Drosophila melanogaster: one gene and its partners. The protein of the gene in region 1 interacts with the protein of each later gene in a pairwise test. Each region holds a gene or a part of one and is shown in the gene's direction. Other genes may lie near its edges.

The links.
Region 2: the proteins of Calr (region 1) and Arpc2 interact in a two-hybrid assay, tested with the Drosophila melanogaster proteins (one large-scale study listed by BioGRID).
Region 3: the proteins of Calr (region 1) and CG14204 interact in a two-hybrid assay, tested with the Drosophila melanogaster proteins (one large-scale study listed by BioGRID).
Region 4: the proteins of Calr (region 1) and l(2)k09848 interact in a two-hybrid assay, tested with the Drosophila melanogaster proteins (one large-scale study listed by BioGRID).

Annotation. Positions count from the first base shown.
Region 1 is NT_033777.3:9,627,081-9,633,557, reverse strand, and holds Calr (calreticulin), read left to right. Parts: upstream 1-2,706; 5' UTR 2,707-2,792; coding exon 2,793-2,880; intron 2,881-3,004; coding exon 3,005-3,109; intron 3,110-3,117; exon of another isoform or gene 3,118-3,303; intron 3,304-3,377; coding exon 3,378-3,850; intron 3,851-3,942; coding exon 3,943-4,497; 3' UTR 4,498-4,867; downstream 4,868-6,477. Other genes in the region: SpdS (spermidine synthase), read right to left, coding at 452-1,181, 1,704-1,837; CG8319 (uncharacterized protein), read right to left, coding at 4,948-5,587, 5,649-6,160. UniProt on the Drosophila melanogaster protein: Molecular calcium-binding chaperone promoting folding, oligomeric assembly and quality control in the ER via the calreticulin/calnexin cycle.
Region 2 is NT_033779.5:20,414,597-20,424,446, forward strand, and holds Arpc2 (Actin-related protein 2/3 complex, subunit 2), read left to right. Parts: upstream 1-2,460; 5' UTR 2,461-2,997; coding exon 2,998-3,071; intron 3,072-3,751; exon of another isoform or gene 3,752-3,885; intron 3,886-3,926; exon of another isoform or gene 3,927-4,058; intron 4,059-4,073; exon of another isoform or gene 4,074-4,208; intron 4,209-4,237; exon of another isoform or gene 4,238-4,371; intron 4,372-4,400; exon of another isoform or gene 4,401-4,537; intron 4,538-4,548; exon of another isoform or gene 4,549-4,685; intron 4,686-4,706; exon of another isoform or gene 4,707-4,834; intron 4,835-4,859; exon of another isoform or gene 4,860-4,989; intron 4,990-5,029; exon of another isoform or gene 5,030-5,160; intron 5,161-5,177; exon of another isoform or gene 5,178-5,312; intron 5,313-5,335; exon of another isoform or gene 5,336-5,469; intron 5,470-5,722; coding exon 5,723-5,816; intron 5,817-5,893; coding exon 5,894-5,993; intron 5,994-6,051; coding exon 6,052-6,238; intron 6,239-6,300; coding exon 6,301-6,521; intron 6,522-6,554; exon of another isoform or gene 6,555-6,678; intron 6,679-6,707; exon of another isoform or gene 6,708-6,842; intron 6,843-6,878; exon of another isoform or gene 6,879-7,004; intron 7,005-7,020; and 13 more. Other genes in the region: CG10949 (uncharacterized protein), read right to left, coding at 672-1,510, 1,568-2,108; CG15130 (uncharacterized protein), read right to left, coding at 8,589-8,677, 9,679-9,831. UniProt on the Drosophila melanogaster protein: Functions as actin-binding component of the Arp2/3 complex which is involved in regulation of actin polymerization and together with an activating nucleation-promoting factor (NPF) mediates the formation of branched actin networks.
Region 3 is NC_004354.4:19,581,654-19,589,378, forward strand, and holds CG14204 (uncharacterized protein), read left to right. Parts: upstream 1-1,963; 5' UTR 1,964-1,988; coding exon 1,989-2,286; intron 2,287-2,345; coding exon 2,346-2,718; intron 2,719-2,776; coding exon 2,777-2,850; intron 2,851-2,923; coding exon 2,924-3,239; intron 3,240-3,303; coding exon 3,304-3,520; intron 3,521-3,811; coding exon 3,812-3,993; intron 3,994-4,051; coding exon 4,052-4,523; intron 4,524-4,593; coding exon 4,594-4,893; 3' UTR 4,894-5,404; downstream 5,405-7,725. Other genes in the region: CG14218 (uncharacterized protein), read right to left, coding at 1-6; CG14219 (uncharacterized protein), read right to left, coding at 5,729-5,998, 6,059-6,509, 6,570-6,742, 6,802-7,018, 7,098-7,210, 7,269-7,471, 7,527-7,600, 7,678-7,725.
Region 4 is NT_033778.4:6,073,343-6,079,596, reverse strand, and holds l(2)k09848 (lethal (2) k09848), read left to right. Parts: upstream 1-3,229; 5' UTR 3,230-3,338; coding exon 3,339-3,426; intron 3,427-3,482; coding exon 3,483-4,533; intron 4,534-4,596; coding exon 4,597-4,717; 3' UTR 4,718-5,126; downstream 5,127-6,254. Other genes in the region: SmydA-5 (SET and MYND domain containing, arthropod-specific, member 5), read left to right, coding at 1-747; CG7849 (uncharacterized protein), read right to left, coding at 1,564-2,174, 2,224-2,436, 2,492-2,621.

The DNA of each region.
Region 1 (6,477 bases):
GTTATTGAAATTGAATATCAGTTTTTAGTTAATTATTCACATGCAGTTAAGGTCATTTTTGCATATAAGAAACGCTTCCTTTCAAAGTTTTGCAATATATGCGATATATAAATGAGAGTAACATTCGGTCGTGTAAAATATTGCAATAAGTCTCATTATGTTAACCCAGCATCCACTTACAAATACAAAAATTAAATAGAGCCAACTGTATATATCATTACGTAATAAACATTACAATTTGTTCTATTTTCAACAGTAAAATAACTGAAAGATGGTAGTCGGATTGGAAGGAAAATACTCAGGCTACAAAAATTCGACTAAAAATGAATCATTGCAAGAGTCAGCATTTGTTGAAAATATCCAAGAATTTAAGAAGCGATGATAAACAAGTCATATTATTATCATATTTATTTTTAACAAACAGATACACACGAATCTTTCCGCAACCTGGTCATTCGTAAAAGTGCTTCTGCACCCATCGAGGCAAGGCAAAGGCGGCGGAGTGAACCTCGGAGGAGTAGTACCTTAGGTCTATAGAATCGATTTCGGACTTTCCAAGCTTGGGAGTAGCGAAGTCCTGGTTTTTGTTCAGGGAGCCCATGACGAAGCCAATGTGGCCGCAGGGATAGGACGGAACGGAGGTGACGGCATAGGCCACCTTAGCAAAGTGCTCCTTGCAGCCGGACATGGTCTTCTTGATGTAGTCCAGGTCCAGCCAGAAGCTACCGCCCTGGGAGCACACGATTCCGTCATCCTTCAGCGCGTGTTTCATTAGCTCGTAGTAGCTTTCCTGAAACAGGCTCACTGCCGGACCAATGGGATCCGAGCTGTCGGTGATGATGACATCAAATTCGTTCTTGTGTTTCTTCATATAGTCGAATCCATCGCCAATGGTAAGCTTCAACTTCTCGTTGGCGAAACCACAGGCCATCGCTGGGAGATATTGCTTGGACAGCTCGACGACACGGTCGTCGATTTCCACCTGATGCACTTCCTCGACCAGTGGATGCTTTACCACCTCGCGAGCAACGCCGCCATCGCCACCGCCCACGATCAGGACCTTTTTGGGATTGGGATGGGCGCAGAGCGGCAGGAAAGATATCATCTCCTGGTACGAGAACTCATCCCTGGCCGTGCACTGAATGATTCCGTCCAGAATTAGGCACCGTCCATAGGTTTCGCTGTAATAGAATTATCGAATTATTGATTTTTTCAGCGGCGCAAGTGTACCCAATGTTCGACTGGAGGAACTCAAACCTGAAAGACGAGCTGACTTGCTATCAGTATTCTGTCTGTCGTTTTTGGCCCTAGATGACTCCATCGATAAGGCTGTTGGTGCAGATCAAGAATAAACACACGAAAACCAAAGGGTCCGAAAATGCTGGCTGGGCAATTTGTGTTTGAACAACCAGTGGAAAATTTTCGATTTCTACAATCTATGATTTAGGGACCTTCAATGTAGGATACATATGGGATTAGGCTATTGTAGGTTAGTCCTTAAAATCTCAACAGCTTAAGCTGTTAAAAATTTCGGATTTGTGTGACTTGCGTGTTTATAATGATTTTAATTTAGTTTTTTAATCTCAATCTAAGCTAATTTATTTTGACATCTATCTTCAAACTTCAGTCTAGACTGAGGAATTTCGGATGTAAACAAATGGGGTTGTGTGTCCAAGTATTTGTTTATCTATTATTTATCTTACGTTTCAACGATCTGGATGTCTTGGAACCGGGACTTCTCCTTGTGGATGACCTCCTTGACTTTCAGGGAGAATGACTGACCGGGCCAGAGATCGGCCTGCAGTTCGCTGAACCATCCGTTGTTAAGGGAATCCATTTGTTTAATGCCGCATTCGAATCGGCGTTTGATAAGATTGGCTCAACACGTGGGCTCGACACGAACTTACCGTATCTGCCACAAAGCTAGGTCTTAAAAAATACCTTAGAAGGTCTATTGGTATAAATACCAAAGCTTTTTTGTTTTAATTAATTTAATTTCACTTTTCTATTTCTGGCTATTTATCTTTTTTATTAATATAATACATTTCCAGCGAAAATTGTAATTTTTTAATGTAATAAAGTCAAATGTAAAAGTTAGCACTTATAGATAAAAAAGTTCCTAAAATTAACGAAATACAGGTGCAAAGTTTTGGAATTCCTTTATTTGTTTTTGATTTGTATTATAATGTATAATTAACATTCTAACTTTTTAAATACTATGAACTTTATCGGGTGAAAACTTAATTGTTAACATGTGATGTAAGTGTGAGTTAAAATTTTCAAAACCCTTAAGCCGTTAAAAAGCTTAGGAATGTTCTGGAAGCACAACTGTTCTTCCTGTAACTACTACAATTGTTAAGTAGTAGAAGAATTGTTATTGGAGTAATTTTATGTTTTCTTAGCTTAGCCTGCTGCAAGTGATTAATTGTATGCCAGAATATATTAATTTTATATATTTTATAATTTAATTTAATTAGCAAACGGTCACTTTAGTGTTTCTAATTCCAGCTCAAGCAATCGATAGCGACAGGGCAGCATGCGATTGCTTATCGAAATCAGCCCTGGCCGGTGAAAAAGAATACGTAGACATCCCTGATTGGCCTGATTTGGGCCAATGAAAACGTTCCAGCAAACCAATTTCAGTAACAAGCCGTCCCGCTCCGACACGCACGATTTAGATGCAATAAATAAATAGCACTTTCTTGCCGGCATTTAGTACTTAACTTTAACCGAGTTCGGACAACCATCGGAGTTGGAAGAGTCAGTCCAAAAAGTGGTGCGGGATCGTTCACATGATGTGGTGCAAAACAGTGATAGTGTTGCTGGCGACAGTCGGCTTTATTAGTGCCGAGGTTTATCTGAAGGAGAATTTCGACAACGGTAAGTGGTAGTCATCGCGTTCTATGGCCGCCATGTGGTCCTCCGCTCCCCTTCAATGAATAACGAAAGGAGAGACAATAAAAATAGAAGAATAATAAAAGCACTCCCCCGCTTGTTCCCGTAGAAAACTGGGAGGATACGTGGATCTACAGCAAACATCCTGGCAAGGAGTTCGGAAAATTCGTCCTCACCCCCGGTACCTTCTACAACGATGCTGAGGCCGACAAAGGTAGCGTATATGTGTCGATGTGTCGTCACTCCCTTTTCCAAATCTTTCTCTTCGCTCGTTCTGCCATTTTTATTTTTCGTCGGCGTGTTATCTGCATTTGTATGTGCCCGTGTATGCGGAGAACATGGGCACGAAGAAGAAGAGGAAGAAGAAGAAAAACCACTACGTGTACGTTTTCGAGTAGCTATAGTAACTGTATACACATTTTTTCTCGCCCCCCACCTCCGCGCGGCGCGCATTCGTATTGATGTGGACACACATTATATAGGCATTCAGACCTCTCAGGATGCTCGATTCTACGCGGCCAGCCGCAAGTTTGATGGCTTCTCCAACGAGGACAAGCCCCTCGTGGTGCAGTTCTCCGTGAAGCACGAGCAGAATATCGACTGCGGCGGCGGCTATGTGAAGCTGTTCGACTGCTCCCTCGACCAGACCGACATGCACGGCGAGTCGCCGTACGAGATCATGTTCGGCCCGGACATCTGCGGACCCGGCACCAAGAAGGTCCATGTGATCTTCAGCTACAAGGGCAAGAACCACCTAATCAGCAAAGACATCCGCTGCAAAGATGACGTGTACACCCACTTCTACACGCTGATTGTCAGACCCGACAACACGTACGAGGTGCTCATCGACAACGAGAAGGTGGAGTCTGGCAACCTGGAGGACGACTGGGACTTCCTGGCCCCCAAGAAGATCAAGGATCCCACCGCCACCAAGCCCGAAGACTGGGACGATAGGGTAAGTTGTAAATCCCCGCCCAAATCAGACTTTAGCCCATCGAAAAACCGGTTTGGCTCATTGTTATTAAACAACAACGTAAATCTCTGTAGGCCACCATTCCCGATCCCGATGACAAGAAGCCCGAGGACTGGGACAAACCAGAGCACATTCCCGACCCAGATGCCACAAAGCCTGAGGATTGGGACGATGAGATGGACGGCGAGTGGGAGCCACCGATGATCGACAACCCTGAGTTCAAGGGCGAGTGGCAGCCAAAGCAGCTGGACAACCCCAACTACAAGGGCGCCTGGGAGCATCCCGAGATCGCCAATCCCGAGTATGTGCCCGACGACAAGCTGTATCTGCGCAAGGAGATCTGCACCCTGGGCTTCGATCTCTGGCAGGTCAAGTCCGGCACTATCTTCGACAACGTCCTGATCACGGACGACGTGGAGCTGGCCGCTAAGGCTGCTGCCGAAGTCAAGAACACCCAGGCGGGCGAGAAGAAAATGAAGGAGGCCCAGGATGAGGTGCAGCGCAAGAAGGACGAGGAGGAGGCGAAAAAGGCTTCCGACAAGGACGATGAGGACGAGGATGATGACGATGAGGAGAAGGATGATGAATCTAAGCAAGACAAAGATCAAAGCGAACACGACGAATTGTAAGGACGTCTAGGGAAAATTACGTCGAGAAATATTCGGTATTTTTTGTGTGTTGGTAGCTGCTTTGATGTTCTAAGCAAACGGAAACCACAATTACAATTTGTAAGACTTATAATTTATAAACATACAACTTGTTGTTTTTTTCCATTGCTCTTTTCGAGCGATTTAAGGGTTGTTTAGCTTGTTTATCAAAATGGTGGTGCCACGTGAACAAATCACGGCCGAATGGCAACGCTGTCTATATCGTCGTGTCTACATCGAATTTTGATTTACAGAAAAACGGTGTTGCCACTCCAAATGGTTTTCAAAGTGCTGTTCGAATTCTACGAAAATATAAATCCTAAATTCAATTAAATCCCAATATGAACTATAGAAACAATGAGATATAAACATAACCGAATCCTAATTTATTTATTCGAGTAAGCCGTGGTATTTGGTCAAGAATTTAAGGTATCACTTTAGCTTTAGCTTTTGATCTCCATCCCGATGCTTGCCCAGAAAGTGCCGCTTCAGATGATGTTTCTCCCGGAAGTCCTGCAGGCAGATGGAACACTTGTAGGGCCGTTCATCCGAGTGGCGTCGTCGGTGCTTCGCCAGGTTATTGTTGTCCGAAAAAGTCTTGGGGCAGTGGGGGCATTGGTAGGGCTTCTCGCCCGTGTGTATGCGGATGTGGACCTTAAGGGCCTGCTTGGAACGGAAGTTGGACACGCAGAAGGGACAGGCATGCGGCCGTTCGCCCATGTGCGCATGGATGTGCACCTTGAGGGCCGACTTGTTGAAGAATCCCGTTTGGCAGTATGAACATTTGTGGGGTCCGTTTCCCTGTTTCGATTCCGCGTGGATCAACAGGTGCGCCTTGAGGTTTTGTTCGCGAGTAAAGGCCTGCTGACAGTGGGGGCACTGAAAGGGCGAACGCTCCTGCATATCCTTGCATTTGTGGCTGTCCAGGCTCTGGGTGCTTGAAAAGACCTTTAAGCATTCCGGGCACTCGACGGTGGAATTGCTATTGCGATAACATTGGTGGTTATCCAGATCGGCCTTGAACAGAAAACGCTCTTCGCAGTTTTGGCATACGTGTGAATTGCTGTGAACCCTGTGGAATGAGATATACAATTTTAAGAACAGGTGAAATCATATGTATTGATTGTAATTACTTCATGTGGTCCAGGAGGTTTATTTGGCGCTTGAACTGTTTGATGCATAGTTCGCATTTGAAAGTCTGATTCTTTATACTCCTTAGCTGTCTGCCAGCTCTACTGGTTGTTATGGAAGACTTGGTTGTTCTGGAAGCTGTTTGATGTGTCTTTTTAATTTCCTTGTTGAGTTTCTTCTTTGCTTCCAGATTGCCTTTGTCTGGGTTCTCAATGAATAGGAAATCCTCCTCGTTGGGCTCGTCCTTGATGACCTGCCCATTTAATATCGCCAAATAGAACTTCTTGTAGTTCTCTTCGCATCTTCGCTTGAATCCGTAAGCAGTTCGTGCATCGTGGACACAGGAAATGCACATTTTTTGGGGCATAGCGTCGTCGGGATCCAACTGCACGTCGGCACATGTCTTCACCATCTCAGCGAGCTTGGCTCCATCAACATATTCTTCCACCTGATCGTCGAAAATGCCCAGCATGTTTTCCGAGGCCCCGCCACAAATTCGACACAGGTCCTCCATTGCTTAACTGCTGTTTAACTACAGGTCATATTTTTGGTAAACAATAAACTATGGTATAAACTTTTGTGTGCTTCTTTGTTTGGCTTTGGCTTAATAGAGATGAACTTTTCTGCCGTGACTTTAGTGACTCCAATTTTCGATCACGGTATTTATAAATGAAAGGTAAGCAAAGTTATGTTGTTAATAAAATAACAAGAAATTGAAAATAGTAATTCATTATAATTCATAGTTGATAATTTAGATTCATTGAGTCACGGTTTTTAAAAGTAAAATCTATCGATAACTGTAGCCACAGTCGCCAATCGATTGCATTTAAA
Region 2 (9,850 bases), on another chromosome or scaffold:
TTTACACAAGAAACAAGTTTATGCCCGAGAAGAACCATTCGCAGGCACTTAGCAGGCGCTCGCGTTTATTATCTTAATAATAATTTCAGAGTTCAGGCGGCGCTCTTTGACGCACAACTAGGGATTCCTGCTCGCATGAGAATGGGATTTGGATCGGTATCTCTGGGTCCCGACCAACTGCACCGTGCGAACCGGAGGCGGCAACTAAGCGAATCGAGAATCTGTTGGCACTCGCGCTTCCCAAGAGCCAAGTGCACGCCAAGCGATTTGTTTATCCATCTGCTGCGTACGCGCGAATTTGTTCGTTATTAATTGCAATAAATGGTGTCGGCGTGGGCGCTTTTATTTATTTCTGTTTTTTGTTTTTGGTCGGTATGAAATGTTTGTTTCTAATTTTCGCGTAACCGAAATATTTGAATAATTCAGCGCCCTCTGGTGGCGGGTAGCGTTTGATGGCGATGGTTGTGGTTACGCATTTCAATGCTTTTCAGCACTGGTAATTTAAACAACTCAATTTGAAATCTACAAATATTCAAACCTTTCTTTTTCAATATTGCCTTTTGAGCCACAATATTTAGTAAGTTTATTTATTTACAGATATTTTCATGCTTACACTTATGTAATAACCCTTCTTCGTAATACTTTTGCAGCTAATCTACAACATTCTAATTTCAGTTAATGACCTGACAAGGTGCCACATCCTCGATCTCCTCGCCATCGAGGGCTTTGATTTGGCACTGGCACAGGAACTGCACGATCTTACGCTCGGCACTTGCCCGCTCAGACGGACTCAGTCCGTCCAGCAGCATCTGAGCCTTGGCAAGCAGGCTGTTGGCAGGCTGTGTACTTCGCTGTTCTCGCTCCTGCTCCTGTTCGTGGTGAATCTGGGCCTGCAGCTCCCGGGATTGCTGAAGCACGGTCTCCATGTTGGCAATCACGGTGGTCAACAGTTTGTCGGAGATGGCGGCAGACGGTACAGAGTCCCCAGGGAGAGAGGAGGACTCCTCTACGACGGGATTTACCCTGGCGATTGTGTGAATTATTTCCTCACTGGTGGCCGGCGTGGTGGTGGTCACCTGGAGCTGCTGTGGTGGCTCCAAGTCCTGCCGTGCCGTCGCTTCGCTGAGGATAAAATCGTACGGCGTTGCTTGCTCCGCCTCCGATAGTATCTCAATCTCTTCATCGTAGGCCAACTCAAGATCATCCTCCAGATCGTCGTTGTCCGTACTGTAGGGGTAATCAGCGCCCCAGATTTGCTCACCACTGGAGATCACCATTCCCTCCGGCTGTTTGCTGGTCTTTCCCGAAGGATTTCCTGCTTTGGGTGGTCGTCCACGTCGCTTGATGTTCTCCAAAACCAGGGGCACTCCTTTGCGGAAGTGGCGGCCCAGAAAGAGAAGGTCGTTAAAGTACCTCCACGTGATGGGCGTGGACTGGTTGATCTGATGACTGCGGAACTCCCGCCCGAAACGATCACGCAGCTTCTTCCAGCGGTTGTAGCAAAGTTCCTCTATTGAAAATTATCGGCATTAAGGGCTGAAGATCAAGAGGGTTACCCCGAGCTCACCCGACACATTTAGGTTTTCAGAAATCTCTCGCCAGGCTTCGTTTTTCGCTGCTAGGTTCTTGGAGACTCTGATCTTGTGACGATCATACAGCACGGGATGAGACTTGACCAGCTCAATGAGCTGCTCGTTCAGCAGGTCATCCTGGGAGTCCTCCTCCTCCTCGTCCTTTCTCCGCCTCTCCTGCTCCATGTCCACTTTTGTGCGCTTTTTCCGCTCCCTGGGCTCAAAACGCATCCCGTCGAGACTCTCGTTCCTTGCCAGTCCCTGTTTGTAGTGATCCTTGAGAAAGAGCAGTCGCGGAAACATGTCCCAGTAGGTGGGCTCATCCGGACGCTCCTGGAAACGGCGAAACTCCTTGCCGAAACGATCGCGAATGCTCTTCCAGCGCGTAATGCACGCCCGTTCCGAGGCTCCTAACTTCTGGGAGATGGCCTTCCAGGCCGCGTCCTTTTGCGCCGCATTCTTCACGCTCCTCGCGCAGTCCTTGTCGTACAGGATCGGGTGTCTCTCTATCAATTTAATCAGCTCATCGTCGTCCATTGATTTTCGCTATTATTTGTTTTTATTTATTCTGAACGATCCGGCAGCCTGGCGGGAAATATTGATAGTCGATAGGCGATGGGTCATCGCACAAAAAGGGCTGCCAGATTATTCTGTTAAAAAAATGTGCCTCTTAGTTTTATAGCACCGTTATTATAACAATGTTAAATAAAATATTTGTGTGTTTGTCTTAAAATGTCTTAATACATATTTATAATTTAAAGTTCGTGTGTACGAATTTCGTTTAAAATATATTCTATTTTATATATTTTAAAGAAAATTCTCTTTATGTTTGTTAAAATCTGCTGGTTTGAATTTCTGTGTAACCTGATAACATTGATGGTCGATAGCTCGATACTTCAATCTTTCCATCGGTGAGTTTGCCCCATCTCTATTGTGCTACCTGGCAACGCTGTGAGCAAGGAAAATACGGCAGCGTGCTCCCCGTTTTCCATCCACGTTTTGTTATAATTTTATAAGTATTACGGTCTGAGACCGATTTTGCACTGCATCGTGCGCGCTGCAAGTACTGGCGATTGGAAATTGGAGGCGCGAAAAGAGGATAAGGTGGATTTTCTTGCAACTGTGTGTGTGAGCATTGGAATTCGCCCGTGTGTGTGGCGAGAGTGCGTCCATGTGTGTGTGACGGACCAAAAAAGCCGACATCAGCGCCCATTTTTTGTTGTTGATTCATTAATACGCCCGTCATGCACCAGTATTGGTGAGTTGGAGCAGCGCACCGTCTTACTCGCACTCAACGGAGCGCAGAAAGAGCGCAGGGAGCGGCAGAAGAAGAAGCAGCGAGCAGCAGCACCATTAGCGGCAGTCAACGTCATATAATTTGTCATCGAAATTGGCACACTAAAAATAACAGTTAACTTCAACCGCCATGATCCTGCTGGAAATCAATAATCGGATTATCGAGGAGACGCTGCTGGTCAAATACCGTAATGCCCAGGCTGGGTAAGTCAATGCCTTCCAGTCCCGTTTCCCCAATTTCCATTCCACCATTTTGATTTCTATGCTGCATTCCCCACCGTTCTGTTATCACCAGTCGGCTTTGTTATCAATTTCGTTAGCTCTCTCTTTCCTCGGGAATAAATTTGGGTGTAGTTCCAGCCTTGGAACACTCATCGCTGCAGCTCTCTCCCTCCCACACACGTACCCAAGTACAGTGCAGCCCCCTTACGTCGACAGCGTATTAGTTAATTCATTACAACTCGCTATTCGCATCATCGGTGCTGAAAATCTGCAAAACTGACTCATCCATTGACGTGCATTCAAACGCATACGCTTGTGATGATCGAAAATATTAGTATTTATTTGTTCCTAATCCCGAAAAAGGATATTATTATTGAAGAAACATTATCAAAGGAGTCGTGTTACGAAAGAAATATGTTTAAGCTAAACGGTTTAGAAGAAGCTTAGACGAAGCTTACAGACTAACAAAATTATTAAAATTAGTAAAATAACTTATTGTACTAACAGCACTATCAGCAGAAAGAGGTATTTGTGTTTGGTAGCGAATGATTAAGATCTCACATAAATAAATGTATTTAAATGCTAATAGTTATGATGCCATTAGTTTATTCCCGATAAGATTGCAGTGTAATGCCTGAAATTAAGGCAATAAAAGTTATAAATTGTGGAACAAAAGTGGCATACTTGGAAAAAATCTCCTGTTGTGTCTCAAATGTTCCAAAATAAACCAAAAGGACGAACGGCATCCTGAATAATCAATCATATTATAGCAGATGACTTGTGTTCGTGTACATAAAAACTAATAGTTTCAATATTACTCCCCTATTATCTGTATTCTTGGGAGACAAAGTTTACATGCTAAAGATTCTCCATTTTCCGTGTCTACAACGCTCCGATATAAATTGTAACGCTTAAATCATCTTGAGTAATTCTTTTTGTTTCTTAAGATAAATACTTTCGTGTACATTATTGCAAATTTTAGGCTTTGGAGCCAAAGTGGCATTCTTCAAAAACAATATTTGATCTGTGTCTCAAAAGCTCCAACATTAACTAGAAAGACGAACGGCATCCTGAATAATCAATCATATTATAACAGATGACTTGTGTTCGTGTACATTTGCCATAAAATGTTCAACTTTTGTAATATTCTGGAGTCAAAGTGGCACGTCTTACGATCTTCCTGTAACTTGTGTCTCAAATGCTCCAATATCAAACGAAAGGACGAACGGCATCCTGAATAATCAATCATATTATAGCAGATGACTTGTGTTCGACTACAATAGTATTCGATTTATTAGACCAATAATGCCTCGGGAGACAAAGTTTACATGTTGAAGATGATGTGGCTTCTTTTTCGTGTCTACAATGCTCCAAAATAAATTGTTCGTTTAAATCGTCTTATTCGATTTATTTTATTGCCTAAGATGGTTGCCAACTGCACAACAACTAATTAAATATTTGGGTGGAGTTAAAGTGGCATATTTTATAGCTTTCCTTTGATCTGTGTCTCTATCGCTCCAATATCAATTTTATAAGCGAACGGCATCCTGTTTAATTACTTATATTAAGACAGACGACTTGTGTTCGTGCACAACTTCAAAATGCTTCAATAGTCATATGGAGAAAAAGTTTACATGCTAAAGTATTTTTCTTTTCCGTGTCTACAATGCTCCAATATTAATTGAACGTCTAAATCATCTTGGATATAATTATATTTCCATAGATAAATACATTCGTTCACAATACATTCGTTGTTCATATGAAAATGGATTGGAGTCAAAGTGGCACACTTAATCCATTTTTATTTGTGTCTCAAATGCTCCAATATCAAATGCAAAGGCGAACGGCATCCTGAATAATTATGCATATTATAACAGATGACTTGTGTTCGCCTACAATAGCTCCTGATAGCTTTACATTCCTTTATAAGACTCCCGTCTTCGGAGACAAAGTTTACATGCTAAGGATAAGATCTTTTTCGTGTCTACAATGCTCCAAGAGCAAATGTTCGTTTAAATCATCCTTGGCATTCAATATTTTTGCTGTGGATGCATTTAATTCGTGCACATATTTATAGATATGTATGTCGTGGAGGTAAAGTGGCATTCTCGGGATATATAAACCTGCCTGTGTCTCAAACACTCCCAAATCAACTTGGTTGGCGAACGGCATCCTGAGTAATTAATAATATTACATCAGATGACTTGAGTTCGCGCACAATCGCTTTAAGATCGCAAAGTACGATTTAGGAGCCAAAGTGGCATGCCTTGGAACTTTTATCCAATTTGTGTCTCTAATGCTCCGATACTAATTATACAAACGAACGGCATCCTGTTTGATCCTACATATCACAATAGATGACTTGAGTTCGTGTACATTATTCAGAAATATTTGTTTAGTTCTTGTAATTGAATTAAACTAAATTTAGATATCGGCTTAGCGATCCAGATACAAATACATACGGATGTTTTAATTTATTCGAAAACGCAAAATATAATTTTATTGCTGCTGGTTTCTTTTGGAAAAATAATCGGGTATAAACGAGTTTATGTGATAAGATACGGTGGAGTGTGGGGAGCATGACTAATAAGCAAGAAAATAAATGAGAATTTACTTTTTAATTCTCTTTCCAGACTGAAGCCTGAATCGATAGACATACGAATAGCAGACTTCGACGGCGTCCTTTATCACATTTCCAATGTGAATGGCGATAAAACAAAAGTTCGGGTAAGTGTACCGCGTACTATTCATTTAGGATAAATCCAACATTAACGATTTCTCACTTTTCTTGGGCTGCGAAACAGATCAGCATATCGCTGAAGTTCTACAAACAGCTGCAAGAACATGGAGCCGACGAGTTGCTGAAGCGTGAATATGGCAGTCTGCTTACAGACACGGAAGAAGGTACGTTCGTGTTTAAGTTCGGCATTTAAAGAAGTTAATTACTCTCGTCTAATTGCAGGCTACAATGTTTCCGTACTTATCAACCTGGAGGAGATTCCCGAGGACTGCGAGCAAATCGCAAAGAGAATCGGACTGCTGAAGCGCAACTGTTTCGCATCGGTTTTTGAAAAGTATTTTGACTATCAGGAGCAGGGCGAAGAGGGCCAAAAGCGTGCCGTCATTAACTACCGCAACGATGAGACTTTGTAAGTCAGAAAAATATGTTTTTGACTCGTCCAAGCGCTGACAATCTACAATCGATTTGCAGATATGTGGAAGCCAAGCCTGATCGTGTCACCGTCGTCTTTAGTACCATTTTCCGGGACGAAGACGATGTCATTATCGGCAAAGTATTTATGCAGGAATTGAGGGAAGGTCGGCGTGCCTCGCACACCGCACCACAAGTGCTCTTTTCGCACCGAGAACCACCATTGGAATTGGCCAACACGGACGCTAGGGTGGGCGACAACATTGGCTATGTCACATTCGGTATGTTAAAGGTTGAATGGTAAACCATGTGCTGTGGAGCCAAAGTTTACACGTTAAAGTGCATTTGTCTTTTCCATGTCTACAAGGCTCCATATAAATAGTATCGTTAAAATCATCTTGAACATTCTAGTTTATAAATATATCCAATGATAAATACTTCCGCGCACAATAATGCATTAAAGTCACCTGTGGAGTCAAAGTGGCATGTTTTAAATTACAATTTGAATTGTGTCTCAAATGCTCCAATATCAACAAGATATGCGAACGGCATCCTGAATAATCAATCATATTATAGCAGATGACTTGTGTTTGTGTACAGTAACACACCAACCCAGAATCCCCAAGCTGAATTGTTCAGTGGAGACAAAGTTTACATTTTAACAGTATTATCGTTTTTATGTCTACAATGCTCCGAAATCAATATCCGATCCAATTATCCAAAGCAGTCTTATATTTCCTTGGATGATTTCTTTCGTTACAAAAATGTCAGTATATTCCATATGGAGTTAAAGTGGCATATTTTTAATACTTACCCTAAATCTGTGTCTCTAAAGCTCCAATATTAAATAAATAGACAATCGGCATCCTGAATAATCAATCATATTATAGCAGATGACTTGTGTTTGTGTACAGTAAAAGAATATCTTAGACTGCCTTTTTTAAATGGAGACAAAGTTTACATGTTAACAATATTATCGTTTTCGTGTCTACAATGCTCCAAAATCAATATATTCGATCGAATCATCCGAAGCAGTCTTATATTTCCTTGGATGATTTCTTTGGTGCACAGTGCACAGCTAATGTAATCCCAATGGAGTTAAAGTGGCATATTTTGTATACCTTCCTTCAATTTGTGTCTCTAATGCTCCAATATTAAATAAGTAGACGAACGGCATCCTGAATAATCAATCATATTATCGCAGATGACTTGTGTTTGTGTACAGTACTTCTTAGAATTGAACCGATGTTACACTTTGAAATATCCAAAAGAAACAAAATAGTAACGACTCATACTTGTTTTTTGCAGTACTCTTCCCTCGGCATACCAACAAAGAAACAAGGGACAATACCATTAACTTAATTCACATGTTCCGAGATTACTTGCACTACCACATTAAGGTAAGTGTTGTATGCAGCTATGCAAAAATATCTTTTATATATTTGAAATATGCATTTTTGAGCAGTGTTCAAAGGCTTACATTCATTCGCGCATGCGAGCAAAAACCTCGGATTTCCTCAAGGTGCTAAATCGTGCAAGGCCAGAGCCCAAAAACACGGAGAAGAAAACTATAACGTGAGCATTGGACTTTCCATAACGAATTCTGATTACTAACTCGTGTTCTTTTTGCAGGGGGAGAACTTTCAAGCGCATCGATTGATGTGTTCAGTATATTTAGTTGTTTTTATATAAATACAAAAAATAAATTGTGTATTAAAATTCGATATCCGAATGGTGAATCCAACATAAACTAAACCAGATTGCAAGACAAACCCAAGTATTCCAAACAGAACCGTAAGGCTAAATGTAAGCTCAGCAAAATAATGATCAAAGAATTAATAGTTACGCGTTAGTAAATGAATTGTGTGTGTTTGTGTCGAGTCATCGTCAAATCCGTGTCTCCGCCAATTTGTTACAGTCATAGGCCGAGTCAGCGCCACAGCTGAGCCGCATTTTAAACAAATAAACGTAGACTTAAGTGCAACATGAGAACTAAAACTACCATGTCAAAGCGAGCAACACGACTAAGGGATGCCACCAACTTGTTATATAGTCGCAATGGAGGATTCATCCCCGCAATTAGCCTGTATGTGTAGAAAGCGCATTTAAAAACGTACTGCAAATATTAACAAACCTTTGATACAGCAATCGGAATTAATAAAAACGAGAAAATCAAACTGCAATGTAAAATAAAAAAAGGGACACTCTTTTAATCTCTAGCTAGCTGCAGACGCTCGAATACACTTTATTTTCTAGCTTATTAGCTTTTAATTGCACATAATGTCTTAAATGTTACTAATATTTCGCTTAGGTATACCATCTCCGCTGCACAATACTATAACAGGCACTTAGATCTTAAACTTAACATTCTGCTTCGCGTTCATGCTCTCCATGCTGACCTGGAAGTTGAGATAGTCGCTCTGGATGCGGGCACACACTGAAAGAAATGTGTTGGGTAAACTAAGTTGGGACTGAGGAGCGCTTTGACTGTTACTATTGAGATGTGCTACTTACTTACAGTGGCAGTGTTCATTGCGATAGAGAGTTTACTGCTTAAGTACTTCCGATAGTTTGTACAGGGTGCGGGTGAATTTACAGAGCCCCTAGGGATCATCGTACTGTTCCAATTTGATATAAGCAAGTGCTGTGATAGAGAAGCGGCAGGGCGAGATGGATAGAATAAGTGAGTAAATCGCTTAACACTGGGAAAAATTCGTTCCAAGCATGCGAAGAGTTCTCATAAATTTGGAACAAGTCCAAAACTCAAGAAGATACTGACTTGAAATGCAATTTTGATTATTATTCTATTAGAAGAAGATAACTGAGAGTGAATATTTTGAATTTGAAATATTTTAAAATAACGTAACAATATTAAAAAACCATTTCAGTCGAAATTAAATTGATTACTGGTGGGATAACTGAAGATCAAAGTTTTGTATCGCAAGCTACTACTTTTCCGTTTATGTTATTTTAAGCCCCTTTTTATAAATTTGCTATCAAGATTGGAAAACAGAAGTGCTTTTCGTCCAATTGTGGTTCGGAACTTATCTTAAATGGTTGTAATGCCATAAAATACTACAATTAACAAGTTATTTAGACACCTAATTATTCAGCTGACTAGCATCTCTCTATAAGAAATCCCTTCACATTCAAAAACTTCAGAAAGAATTTTTCTCAGTGTGAGGTAACTAGCGTGCGACAAGAGGAGTCAGCTGGAGGAGTCGTTTATCATTTTGTATATATACAAATGCGTGAACTCGTGTGGGAGGTGGGTGGTGGATGGGCGGGATAGTGAGGATGGGTAGGAGGAGCTCCAGACAGGAAAAGGGCTTGGCTCGCATTAGGGTGACAGCGAAAGTGGGGCAGTTGGTACACAGGTTTTCTACGCGATGTGTATGTATGAGCGGGGGTAATGAGATGGCGGAGCCACTTTCTCACCCTTCTGCAGGTCCATGTCGTCCATTTCGGAGTTCTTGATCTGCTGCAGCTTCTCGCGGAACTTCTTTGTGATCTGCTTGCGCTGGTAGTCCGCCTCGATTTCCTGCTTGGTGCGCGGTATACGGAAGCGAATGCAGCAGCATACCATAATCACTGCGGCAATGATTCGATT
Region 3 (7,725 bases), on another chromosome or scaffold:
CCTCATCCTGACGGATCAAAGAGTATGTGTGTACCGCTCGAAAGGCCGTTCCAATCAGAACTGGCGCTGGTCAGCGCTGGAGTCGCCTGCCTGTACTCCAACGGAGTGGTGCCACGCGGGCCTGGGCGTCGCGGATTAAGTGCCCCCCCAAAGTCAACTAGTTAGACGGGTTAGCTGCGACCGTCCGCCTGGATCTCGTAATCGCAGACCCCGCCGACTGCCGGCGGTTATCAACGAGTTCAGTGCGTGGCAACAATTACTTTTGCACTACTTTTGCGCCAGTTTATAGATCGTAAGTGCAGCTCGAACTATGCATAATGCTTAGCGGCGAGTGCATTTTAAGAGGCTAAACAACACGCACCGTGGGACTAGAACTCCATATACCCACCTATATATATACCATACATACACATAGCATATACCATATAGTAGAGCTGCCTCCAACATAAGGGATTGATATACACAAGGGAACTAACTATCTGCAAGCTCATTAAGTATCTATACTATTTAGATTGTTCTGTGTCGAGTACGAATCTACATGTTTTAAAACCCTAACAAAATATCAATAATTCACAGATAAGTTTCCCATAAGATAGGGAAATCATTCATAGATTGCTTGTTTTATAATTGTAAACTCAAGTGGTTATATACCATATACAAACGTATGTATGTACATACTACCAATTTCACTTGAACTTGTGTCAAATCTCATTCCTCAAAACAGTTCAAATGTTCAACAATGAAGATTATCTGAATATTATAGGTGTATTCGATTGGGAAAGATTTTACGAACAGTGGGCGCTTACTAATTCGTTGACTAATTCGTCAAGTTTGTACCACTGTGCCGAAAAAGAGGGGCTGTCACGATTTGCTCTCATAATAATATGAATTTCAATTTCGGTTTGGCTGCGGCTGTTGCATTTGATTTTCAAGATATATTTAATCATTTCCAGAGTAATTAACAGCTTTTGGTTTTTCAAGCATTGGCGCAACTGGACAATGGTTAGCAACTCTCGTTTGCAATTCGCATTCGCATCGGAATTGGGTGAAAAACCAGTTTAGACCTTCGATTTTCCGAAAGTTTTGACCAAAGTTTTGACACTTGCTGCCTGAGTTCTGCATGTAAATTAGATTTTGACTGCTGTACCGGTTGTTCAGGTCTTTTCAAATAGGCAACTATGCATAATCTAATTTAAGTCATAGTTACTTATATACATATATAAAAGTACCATTCAAAACACTAACTTTCGCGTTGGCAATGCTGGGTATCTGATAGTCGGTTCGGTTGCATTTGGCGTTCCTTCTCGCTGTAACCTTGATGTATTGCTGTTGCATAACCAAAAAATGCGAATCTGGTCCAAAATTCATACGAAAACCAGTCGGTGCCACACCCCTCCACTTTTGGCTGGGAACCTAGACGAAAGTGAAAACTCGTTCGAATTTCCATTTTCCAGCAAAAGCTGGGAAAACCTGGAAAACACAGGATATCGAGAAATAAGTATTGCATGTCAAAATCAAAAACTGGACAAATCTCTGTCCCGAAAAATGTCGGAATTGCAGACACAAAAAAAAAAAAAAACGACAGACAACTGAGCAACAATTTGCTGAACATTTCGTTTGAATACCATTAGTCATGTTGTATGGAAAGCCAAATCGCCTTTTAATCAGCAGCTAAGTTAAGTTAAGTATTCTCGGGAAATTCGACAAGGTAGAGATGCTACCGAAACAGCCAAATCCAGCGGCTTATCTTTCCGGGTATTCATCCGAATCGCAATAGTATTAGCCACGTTAAGAGTTCGCTGCCCTGATTACCAAGGGTAGCTATGCCTCCGATTATTGGTAACTATTCTATTGTCGGAGGCGCAGATAATGAGATAATGAATTCTCGATTTCGAATGGGAAATGCACAGCAGGATTTGCCTGTGTATAAATGGGCCAGGGAAGGGTGATTCGCTAAACAGTCGTAAACTAGGAGCTCCAGGCGAAAGATGATCAAGCTATTGGCTATATTGCTTGCCATGGGAATGGCGATGGTCCAAGGAGCGCTGCCGACCCAACTATCAAATAATCAATGGACACAACACGATGTGTCCTCCATGGCGGATTACGAACGGCTCCTGGATCTGCGCTCCCTGGCAATGGAGTTCTATCGCGAATTTCGGAACATTTCAACGGCGGATGTGCATCTTCTGGGTGAGCGGATTGGATCACAAGATCTACAGTGCCTGGCCGATATGGCCCAGTTTATGAGTGCGCTTAGTGCGCCCAAGGCGTGGGCCCTAAAAAGTGGGTATTACAACATCTTCAACTTTGATGCCATTTGAGTTTATCCCTTCTATGCGAAGTGCTCGACGCGTGGGGCACCATTCCATCGGGATATCTCATTGGCAACCGCGTCGACATGGGCAACTACAGGGAGTGCCTGTCCGAGGGCGGAATGCTCACCTCATCGCAGGACATCCAGGGAAAGTACTGCTTCATGGAGCTGCCGGTTGCCAAGTGGTTGGGTTTCACTTCTGAGCTGCTGGCGGTGACCAACATAAGGACTGCTGTGTGCCTGCCTTCCTCTTGCTCGGCGGGCACCATGGAGCTGTTCCTCAAGCAACTGCTCAAGCGGCTGCTTGGCGTCAGTGATCCGACCAATTTGTTTTCCATCAGCGAGACGTCGTGCAGAATCAAGGAGAAAGCACCCTGGGATGGGCTCACCATATTCACAGTGTGAGTAGTGTCTTGATACATCCTAGCTGATCTATCCATACTAACTGACTACCATCAGCGTTCTACTGTCCGTATTTGGTGTCACGGTTATCCTGTGCACCCTCTACGACTACTTCTTGTGTCCGGAGCAGGGTAAGTAGCTGACATAAATCGGATAACAGCCTATATGTATGTATATGTACCATATATCCATGTCTACCCGCAGAAAAGCTACCCCGTCCCATCGGCGCCTTCTCAGCCCGTGCCACTTCGCGTTCGCTGTTCACCATTGTGGAGAACACGGCGAATCCGAATGTAATCCACTGTCTCAATGGCATGCGGTGCATGTCCCTGATCTGGGTAATCTTGAGCCATGAGTACATTATCAACATGAAGGGTCCCGCCATCAATCCAGCGGACAACCTGCGATGGGCGACGCAACTCTTCTCGAGCTTCATACTCTACGGTACCTTGTCGGTGGACACGTTCTTCTTCATCAGCGGCTTGCTGCTGGTTTCAATTGGCCTGCGAAGCATAGAAAAGTGAGTCAACTTGTACAGGGATTAATCCGATCTGTAGGCAGGCTAACATTCTCAATGGCTCCAGAAACAAGGGAAAGCTAAATGTGCCGCTGATGTATCTGCACCGATATCTGCGCCTCACTCCGATCGTAGCCGTTGCCATACTGGCATTCTACAAGATGATACCCCTCATCGCAGACGGCCCAATGTACGATGATATCGGCTTTTTCGACTACTCCGGGTGCAAGATGACCTGGTACTGGACTCTGCTCTACGTGCAGAACTACGCAACATCCGATGTGGTGAGTTGAATGTCCAAGTTGATCAGGAGAGGTGGACAAGCCCATCTAGTCCGTCCGTATCAGGATGGATCTGTATCAACCTTATATACCTTAGAAGTTACAATAATTAAAAGTGTTTAGTGGCTTTACTGCGAATAGGAGATCACTTCGATAGATGGCGCCTGCAGCACTAGAATTGATCGTTGGCGCCATCTATGTAAGTTCGGTGGTACCATTGCCATTGCAGTTGGAGCTCTTGACTATATCTGTATATTTATCTATCTAATTATTTGATTGTTGGTTGCTCCTTAGTGCGTGCCGCATACCTGGTACTTGGCGGTGGACATGCAACTGTACATCCTGTCCCCGATCCTGCTGATCGCCCTCTACAAGTGGGGCAAGAAGGCGGCCGGAGGTATCCTGGTGGTCACTTTGTTGCTCTCCGCCTGCCTGTTTGCCACCATAATGGTGAATGACTTCCCTGTGATGTTCAAGTAAGCCAGTCGCGCCCGCCGTTTTGTGTCCCCCAATGCTAATTGCAATTACTAACAGGAATGGAATTCAGGCTCAGGTGGTTCAGAGGAAGATCTACACCGCTACGCATACCCATGCGGCGCCCTGGTTGGTCGGTACTATGTTCGGTTATCTCCTGCACCTGATGCGCGGCCGAAGATTCAAGTTAAGCCTCCTGGCTACCTGGGCAGGCTGGCTGCTCTGCCTGGCCCCGCTCTTCACCTCGATCTTCGCCTTGTATCCGTACTCCAAGCTGCTGGGCAAATCGCCCTCAGTGTTGCAGGGAGCCCTCTACTATACACTGGTCCGGATCGCCTGGCCCCTCGGTCTCTGCTGGGTGGTCTTTGCGTGCATGCAGGGCTATGGTAGTCTGGCCAACAGCTTCCTCTCCTCTCCACTTTGGCAGCCGTTGTCCAAGCTCTCCTACGGCGCCTACATCTGGCACATCTTTGTCGTGGAAGTCGCCAATAGAAGCGTTCAGACCAATACGTACTTCTCCAACTATCAAGTGGTAAGTGTGTGGCAGGCAGGGTCACTCGACATTCCTATTGGACTTGAACGCTTCATTTCCAACTCCATAGATGCTCAACTTTTGGTCCACCTTTGGCTTTACCCTGCTGATGTCCTACGTGCTCTACGTTTTAATTGAGGCGCCTCTGGAGGCCTTGGAAAGAATTATGTTTCCCAATCGCAGAAGCCCGCCAGCAGCAAAGGATCAGCTGCATATCGAGTCCCGAACGGAAGTCGTGGACCAGATGGACCAGATGGATCACATGGACGGGATGGATCAGGTGGTGCAGCACGAGAAGCGCAGTGATATCCAGCCTGACCTGGAAACGAGTGCCAACAAAACAGAGACTGACCTCGAGTTATCAAATTAGACTTATCAGCTCCTATTTAGCCTTTATTAAAACGAACTACTTGTAATCTAGGCACAATTAACTTAACCACGGGTCTAGAGTTACGATGGAATGAATGGTCCTTGAGTTGAAAAGTCTTGCACTTAAGACGATATCAGTCGTTATCTGGTTGCGACTTTTGCGACCAGGTGGGTTTCGAATTAGTCATGAAGGTGATTCCCGACTTTGGCTTGCTGTAATGGGCACACAAAGATTTCAATTCTGACTCACAGAGGCGATGCACGCCCCATTCAGTTACAGAAAAAAAGAAAAGAAACACAAAAAAAAAACAGAAGGAACGACTTTGTCTAGTGTCTCGACTATCAGATATGTATGCACCAAAGCGTTTACAAGTTTTTCAGTTTGATAAGAGCCAAATCTGTTGATAATTTACATTCCATAGATTACGTATTTGTATTTGTATACTTGACTTCCCCACTTTGCTGACCATGTGTCTTGACTTTCATCTGCGTAGTGACGAAATGCTATGTTTATAGTCAGGAAATTGGAGAATTTGCTCTGATAAAACGATAAAATCAATCGATTGACAAACCAATCGAAACGTATTTATTAACATTTTAAACTTGTATTTTGGATGCTTAAAGTGGGCGGGGCCAACATGTTGTGGGCAGATCGACAGAAATGGGCAAGCCAAATAATAAAAGTAGGCGTATCTGCGTTCATATGGATGGACATGGAAGTATCGACTCGTCCAGTGATTCTGATCAAGAATATCGGAATCGCTTACCGTACAATGAATTTCGAACACAGTTTTAATACTTTACGTAACGCATGAAATCATATATTTTAAATGTAATTATACTAAAACGTTGCTCTTTTCGGGAGCAGCCTGAATAACTTCGTCGGGTATCGTGGATATCGCTTCCGCAGGCTTACCTACTGGAGATTCTTCGACTGATGCCTTCACCTCCGACATCCTGGGCTCCACCACCGCGGCCGGCTTGGCATTTGGCCTCTTTGCGGGCAGCAAAAGGCTTTCCAGACCGGCGAATGGCGCTTCGATTAGGATATGCATGAGGTACGAGAACAGAATCGTAAAGCCAAAGTCCGTCCAGAATCGAAGCATCTGGAGATAGGGGGATTCTTAGAATGGTCAACTCCGCGTACAAGGGAACATGGTACCTACCACTTGATAGTCACTAAAGTAGGTACTTGTGTGCGTGATTCCACCGTTCAAGCTCTCGATGAACATGTGAAAGATGTAGGCGGAATAGGATAGCCTGGACAGCGGCTGCCACAGGGGAGAGGATAGCAAGCTGTTGGCCAGTCCTCCGTAACCGTGCATGCAGGCGAAAACCACCCAGCAGAGACCAAGGGGCCAGGCGATCCTGGTTAGGCTTACGTAGAAGGCCTCCTCCACAATGGGCAACGTGTTCTGACCATAGATCGAAAACAGGCAGCTGGCTATCAGTGACAACGCAATCAGCCATCCCAGGAGGACAGCCAGGCGGTTCAGCTTGAAATCCTTGCCCCGGTTGGTATGAAGAAAGTAGCCGAACAGTATGCCAATCAGGTAGGGAGAAGCACGAGTCTGTGTGGCATAGTAGAGCTTCCTCATCGAATCACCGCCGCTTCCTCTGCAAATAAGAGAATTGTTCTGAATATCTTACATATAAGTATCCCTAACATCCACTTACAGCGATAAATCATTGATGACCATGATGCTAAAAAGACAGCCGGCCAGCAGGAGCATCAGAACAAAGATTCCGGCAGCCGCCTTCTTGCCCCACTTGTACAGGCAGATCAGGAGGAATGGTGCAAAGATGTACAGCTGCATGTCCACCGCCAGGTACCAGGAATGACTTAGGCACTGCGAGAAACCGTGGGTGATATAAGGTGATACAAAATGTCGTCATCGAAGGACCCTACCAGGCTATCAGTCGCATAGTTCTGCACATAGAGTAGTGTCCAGTACCAGGTGCTCTCACATGCTGAGTAGTCATCAAAGCTTATTGATCCTTTAAGTGGCCCGCTTTCCCACAGCGGCAGGATCTTCATGTAGAAGAGTATGGCAATGGCCAGGATGGGCGTGAGTCGCAGATACCGATGCAAATACATTAGGGGTATATTCAGCTTTCCCTTGGTTCTGGACGGAGTAACAACACAATGTAAGTGAGTAATTGAGTAATTCAAATGATATCCCTATCATTCAAGTCACAACTCACCTATCCATTGATCGCAGGGCAATCACCACGAGCAACAGACCGCTCAGGAAGAAAAATGAGTCCACCGCATAGACCGCATGTTTTACAAACAGACTGTAGAATGAGTTGATCCACTAAATAATGGGTAATTATATAGAACTTTTACGTTTTTCTTTTACTCGCCCAACTTACCGTCAGAAGGTAACCCATATTAATGTTGGGCGACGTGGCAAGCACCATATAGTCATGACCGTAGACCACCCAGATGAAGGAAAGGCATCGGATCCCATGAAGACAATCGATGACGTTGGGATTCGCCTTGGTGTCCACAATGCGGAATAGGGCACGCGAGTTAGCTCGTGCCGAGAAGGCTTCTACCACTGGATGGATGGTTTCTACAAGCACGGACGATTACTACGGATTCAAGGATCGCATTCGCGAAGAACTCACTCTCATCTTTGCAAAAGAAATAATCGAAAATAGTGCAGACGCCCACTATAGCACCCAAGATCGAAACGATCACTCTGAAAGTTTACGTGTTAACCAAATCTTAGACCATCGTCGCATCCATCATCTCTTTATGATTATGATCTCTACTTACATGGTGAATATGGCGAGGCCATCGTACGGTTTCTTCACTGCGGTCTGG
Region 4 (6,254 bases), on another chromosome or scaffold:
CAGCACCATCTTCGACTAACGAAGCATTTCAGCTGCCGCTGCAGCCGCTGTCTCGATCCAACGGAATATGGCACCTATATAAGTGCGCTGACTTGTCTGGGGGATGTAAATCAGACCTGTGGAGGAACCCACTTGCCCGTGGATCCACTGGACGAGAACACACAGTGGAAGTGCGACACTTGCCCAATGATAGTGGATGGAGCTTACGTGGCTGAACTGCAGTCCCACATGACCGAGCAGGTGGAGGGCTTATTAGCCGGATGCCCCTCCGCGAATCAGGTGGAACTTCTGTTGGCCCGCCTGACCCATATGTTGCATCCAAATCATTTTCACACGTTCAACCTAAAGCACACATTAATCCAGCTGTATGGTAACGAAGCTGGCTTGGAGTTGGGCGTGCTGAGCAACACGCAGCTGGAGCGCAAACTGAGGCTCTGCGGTGAGCTCTACAACGTATGCCGGCGACTGGATCCATATAGCATTAAGCTGGCTATCTATGTCACGGTCATCCTGATCGAGGTCGCCCACACGCTGCAGGAGCAGGCACGAAGGGCACCAGCAGAAGGAACTTCCCTCTTGGGTCTTGCGCAAAGCCGTCTTAGGGAAGCGCATATGGTTTTGGAGAAAGAGCAAGAATCAGTTGCCGGCAAAAAGCTAAACGAAAAATTGCAGATGGAAATCTTCGAGTGCGAAAAACTAATTTTAGCTCTTGCCTATAATCAAGATCACGAAGCCAATACAAAATAATTTTCTAGATCGGCGAAAGTGGTACAAGTGAACATTTTGAACACCGGATGCTGTTAGGTGCTGTTAAAACAAATCACACTTTGTTAAAATCCAATGAAGCGCCGTTCAAAAGAAATTGTAAAACGAGACTAGGAATCTTTTCAAAATACACATTTTTGTTGGGTTGCTTATAAAAACTATAAGATATATATAAAATAAGATTTTAAAATAAAAACATGTGCGCTATTTTTGATTCTTTGGAAAAATCCGCTAGATAACCGGGAAAACAGCTATAAATATCTATTTCCTACTGAACCTAAATGTCTTTGTAGAGCTATAATTATATAGCTTATTTTCAAATTTTACCTATTTCTCTTTAAATTACCAACTGCGTGACCATTGAAATTCACAAGGTTTGGTATATGACACATTTCCTGAAAAAAATCACTTCTTAATGATATTGAGCACCGAAGAAATTAGTTTACATAATTTGGAACAACTGACCCTTCGATGGGTCGAGGTTATCAACTATAGCAATCTCCCTTGTTTTTAGAATTAATTCAAAAAAAATTTGTGAAATGTATGGTTTTTGGCTACCGCTTCTAATAAGATCACGTTTTAAACATCTTACTTTTACTAAACTAGAGTCTTACGTTTTTTTTTTATAAATGACCTATTTTGAACTGTAACCGTCAATAAACTATGCTGACTTAAATAAGCAGATATTCTGCATATTCTTATCAAAAATTATTACCAGAATTATTGACCTGATTGACTGCTTTATAGTTTATCTGCCTATATTTATTTGACTATATTCAATTACAATGAATTCCTAAATTAATCTGTAGCTCGCAGTTCCACTCGCTGTTGTCGCAGAAGCTGTGGATGCGCCCTCAGGATGTCACGTTGTTGACGGAGGTTCTTGATAATTCCTGGCAAGTGCCAGGCGTGTCTGAGCAGACTATCTGTCACATCAAAATGGGCATGCCGCACGCAGCGTAGTTGGGAGCAGTGCGCCACGGTTCGGAGGTCCAAAGCCATATCGTGCACTAGCGTAGCTAAGTACTCCTGCGTCTCGTTGATGGCGTGCAGTTCCAGGGTGAAGTGCGGTCGATCGAAGTGAATCAGCTTAATGCCGTAGACGACGGGCTGACTGTCGTCCGCTGGGCGTAGGAGACCCCTACAGGCCAGTTCATAGGCCTCCTGGGTCTGCAAATCGACACCGCAGAGCTCAAACATCTTACGCTGATGGGATGCCTGCATGGAGGCGGCTAGACTGCTGATCCTGTCTGCGGACACGTGTCGGTGATTGGAGCGCATTATGACCCGTGAGTCTGGTAGGTTATTTTCGGTTGCGATGCCTAGGTGCCCGATTAGATGGTAGACCCGCACTGGTCGATTTTTCCGAATAGAACTAGACTGGCCTGCTCCCCTGTTGATCCCAAAGACTACAAAAGTATGGTTAGATCTGGATTTAAAATGTTTTACATGACTTACGCAGGACTCCGCTGGTGTGATCGCCCAGGCTGGACACTGTGGTGCAGATCAAGTCTCGCGGAAGGTACCGCGGTCCGGTGGACAGAAGGTGGTCGGATAGATCCGTCTGCTCTCCTATGTTATGTAGTACGTGATCTGCTGCAGTGCCTGTGCCCAGGAGGCTAATGTTCTCTTGCAACTTGCGTGGTTTCCTCTGCTCCATTTCGTTGAGTCCTTTTGCAGATCTGTTTTTAATTTCAATTTGTTCTTTAAATGGCGCTAGGCTTACCCTTGCAAATGTTGCTCAGAATAGCATTGCGCACGTGTTTCACCTTCATACCGGATGGCTTGTACACATTTAGAATGCCATTCATGTGCTTAAACACTGTGGCGGCATCATAAACTTTGGTGAGAGCCATTTCTGCTTTAAGTTACGTATGTGCGCTATTTGTTTTTAAATTCACATGACAGTGTTGGTGAACACACACGAACAGCTGAGCACATGTGCTGCCCAGTACTGAATAGGGTATAGACATGCACTTGAAACTTAATTTATAAAATTTACATATAAAATGTTGTTTTCAAATATCTCTTTAATTTTCTAAAAAAAAGTTTAGTTGGAAATAATTCTCAAAACGTTGTGGTCTTTATACCCGCAAAAAAACATGCTTGTATCACTGCAAAACAAGAATTAAGTCCACCGCACGAAAAAACAAGAAACAAATCCGATTGGGCTAAAATTTTCTATAAATTTTACAAATTTCACGGGAATATTCTCACTGTGGCTTGCATACTATTTGCTTGCATTTAAAATGACAACAAAACTGCACTTAAAGAAGTTATAATCAAATAAAGTCTTATGCGTATCACTATATTCTCACAAGAGAAGTGGTTTTCAACGAAAAAAATGTTTTAAACTGGTAAACAGCAAACTGAAGCCTAGTGACTACCCTAAATGTTATTAAAATATCGGTGGCCGTTAGATATCGATATAAACGATAACATCGATTATTAAGCATATGTCTTTTACATCTCTATTGCACGTGTAGGATTTGTTTTGACCGCACGAATTTGTATAGCCGCATACCATTAATTCACGTTTTAATCGCAAGTATTGAGAGAAACCGCGTCTTGAGATGAAGTGGACTACTGCAAATACCAAACATGTAAACTACACGGCGAAGCACGAACTGTATGTGGGAACACACACGGGCTCCTTTAAACGTACGTCCGCTTGTTCTTTATCGAACAGCATAATAATAATGACTTCAACTTTTTAGACCTGGTGCCTGCATCCGAGAAGACCCCTTATGGACAAAGCAACCTGAGTGATCTGTGCGCCCTGGATAAGGATTCCCGCGTCACATCTCTGGCCTTTGGCAACGACGATCAGACGGAGATCCTTCTAGGCCGGGCCAAGGACGCCGTGGAGATTCACTCCTTCACAGAAAAGGGACATTCTAGGAACACAGTATCCTTCAATGCTGCGCCAATTGTTGGTCTGGCCCGATACAATGACAAGCTTATTGCCGGCATTGGCAACGGAGAGATACAGAGCCTGGAGCTAGAGGCGAACGACGAGTCCGAGCCCGTGGTTATCGCCACGGGTGACCAAATGGACCACCTGCGCCAGTGCGCCCAAGTCAAAAGCATTGTAGCAACTGGCGGCAAAGAGCGTCAAAACAATCTAAAGGTCTACGATTTAAATGCCGACGGTAAGCAGATTTTCACCTCGAAGAATTTGCCCAACGACTATCTGCAGCTAGAGGTTCCGGTTTGGGACAGCGATATCGGCTTTGTGGATGGGCCTAGTGTACTGGCCACTTGCTCGCGAACCGGCTATGTTCGCATCTATGACACGCGTAAGCAGCGTCGACCTGTTGCATGTTTTGCCAGCGAGGAGCACGGGATGAGTTTTACGACTTTAGTGGCAAAGGGAAACTTTATTTACACGGGTACCACAATGGGTGCTCTAAAAGCCTTTGACACTCGACGCATGAAAACTCATGTGCATACGTACAAGGGATTCACAGGCGGGATAAGTGACCTTCATTTAGATGCCACCGGTCGCTTTCTGAGCTCTGCAAGCCTAGACCGATACGTTCGTATCCATGATTCCGAAACCACAGTGCTGCTCTACCAATGCTACGTGAAATCAAAGGCCACTAAGATTCTTATCCGACCGTTTGAAAACGAGGCACGAGTAACAGAAGAACCTGAGGAGGTCGCTGACCTTCAAATGGATAGAAACGTGAGTGAAAATAAGAGCGTCAACGCAACATCTGTGGACAATGAATACGAGGATATGTTTGATCAGATGCCCACTGTGGGGTAAGTTTAACTACATATTGAGTGATTTAATAATACGCTAAAATCTTATATTTTGGCCAACAGTGACAGCGATAATGAGTCCGAGGAAGAGATGTCTAATATTAAGCTTTCAAAGGCCGATCTAAAAAGAAGATCGTCGGAAAAGTCTTTAAAAAACAAAAAGAAAAAAGTTGTGATTAGTTAAAGCGACATGTATTTACGTATAAGAATATTAAAGAAAAAATAGTATAGATTTCGGTGGTTTTTATATTAAAGAACTAACAAACATGGCATCGTAGGTAGACACAGAGCTGTTTTAAAAAAGTTTCGTTGCATATTACATTCTGAACTGACTGTCGAGCAAGGGAACATGAGGTGCGTGCAAGTACTTAAAATAAATTATATTGTAAAGATGGAAGCAACAAACGTCGACTGCGATTATAGTGTTTTACCCCCAGCATAAAAATGGATTCGTGGCCTTCCTGTCATTTTTTCAATGAAGTGTTGGGTCTGTAAAAACATTGCAGCTTCTGCAGTCTAAGATAAGGTGTTGTTTATTTCCTATTTCTAAAAACATAATTCTCAAAAATGTTGGCTTTGGGGGACAGTAATGTAGGAGGCAACCTCATTTAAAGAGACGACTCTTGCGGTTCACCCTTTCTTTTATTTATGTTATGTGGAGTCGTGGTTTAGTGGCATTTTAATGGGCTTATAGTATAAGTATCTTATCCCTACTAGAGGAGTATCTTACATATGTTTAAATATTTATTTACACTAGATAGATGTACGGCAACGGAGAAAAATTAATATTGTAGCCATCAATAGTTTGGTATTATTCATCTTAAGTAAGCTTCTGTAAAAATCGTTTTGGCCACATAATATGAGATACACATAATATCATGTGTGTAGTATCTGAAGACATATATACATATGTTTGCCTATAAACTCATATTTCTCATAAACTAGAATTAAATGTTTTCCTGAAAAATGCAATATAGATTATTATAAATGCGTTATAATAATAATATTTCCCACTCGTTTCTAGATAAACAACGGCTTTGTTTTAAAAATTTAAAAGTATAAGAAAATAAAGCCAGAGCTCCTGAATTCATAATATGTTAAACAACAATGCTCATTATTTTGAGTTTAGGAACATAGTTGAAATTTTAATTCCATCAGATGTTCAATTTAAAATTTAATGTTTAAATGAACATTGCAGCTACTCGACCCGAAAAGCCAGAAAATTGCCCAGCAACGGAGACATTAAATCGAAGTTGGAGTCGCGAGATGGCATATTTTTGAATTTGGAGTGATAATTCCTTACCTAAATTAAAGCATGAGCTTTGAGCTCTGCCAAGTCCTAAAATTTCATTTGAACTACATCAGACTAAAAACTTTTAATTTCTTTTTCGAGCTAAAAGTCGAGCAGGTTAATACTAAGATACCAGCCAGCCAACTTCGAAGCGGTTTCTAACGCGAACACGCGTCCTGATTCGATAAGGCAACTCCCATCTTCCAACCCCGGCTGGACGGCCTTCACGGCATGCACACGCACTCGGAATGGTGATGCCGAATTTCGTCCTGGTATCATCTTTGGCATCTTTTTGGGAAACTGGTTCGGCGTGACGCAAGCATAGGTCGCGTGCTGATTGAAACTTGGATGTCAGTGGAAAACCTGGCCGACGAAAAACGATGGGGCGACTAACACTACCAGAGCTCCGCAATCTTTTAGCTTAAATTTT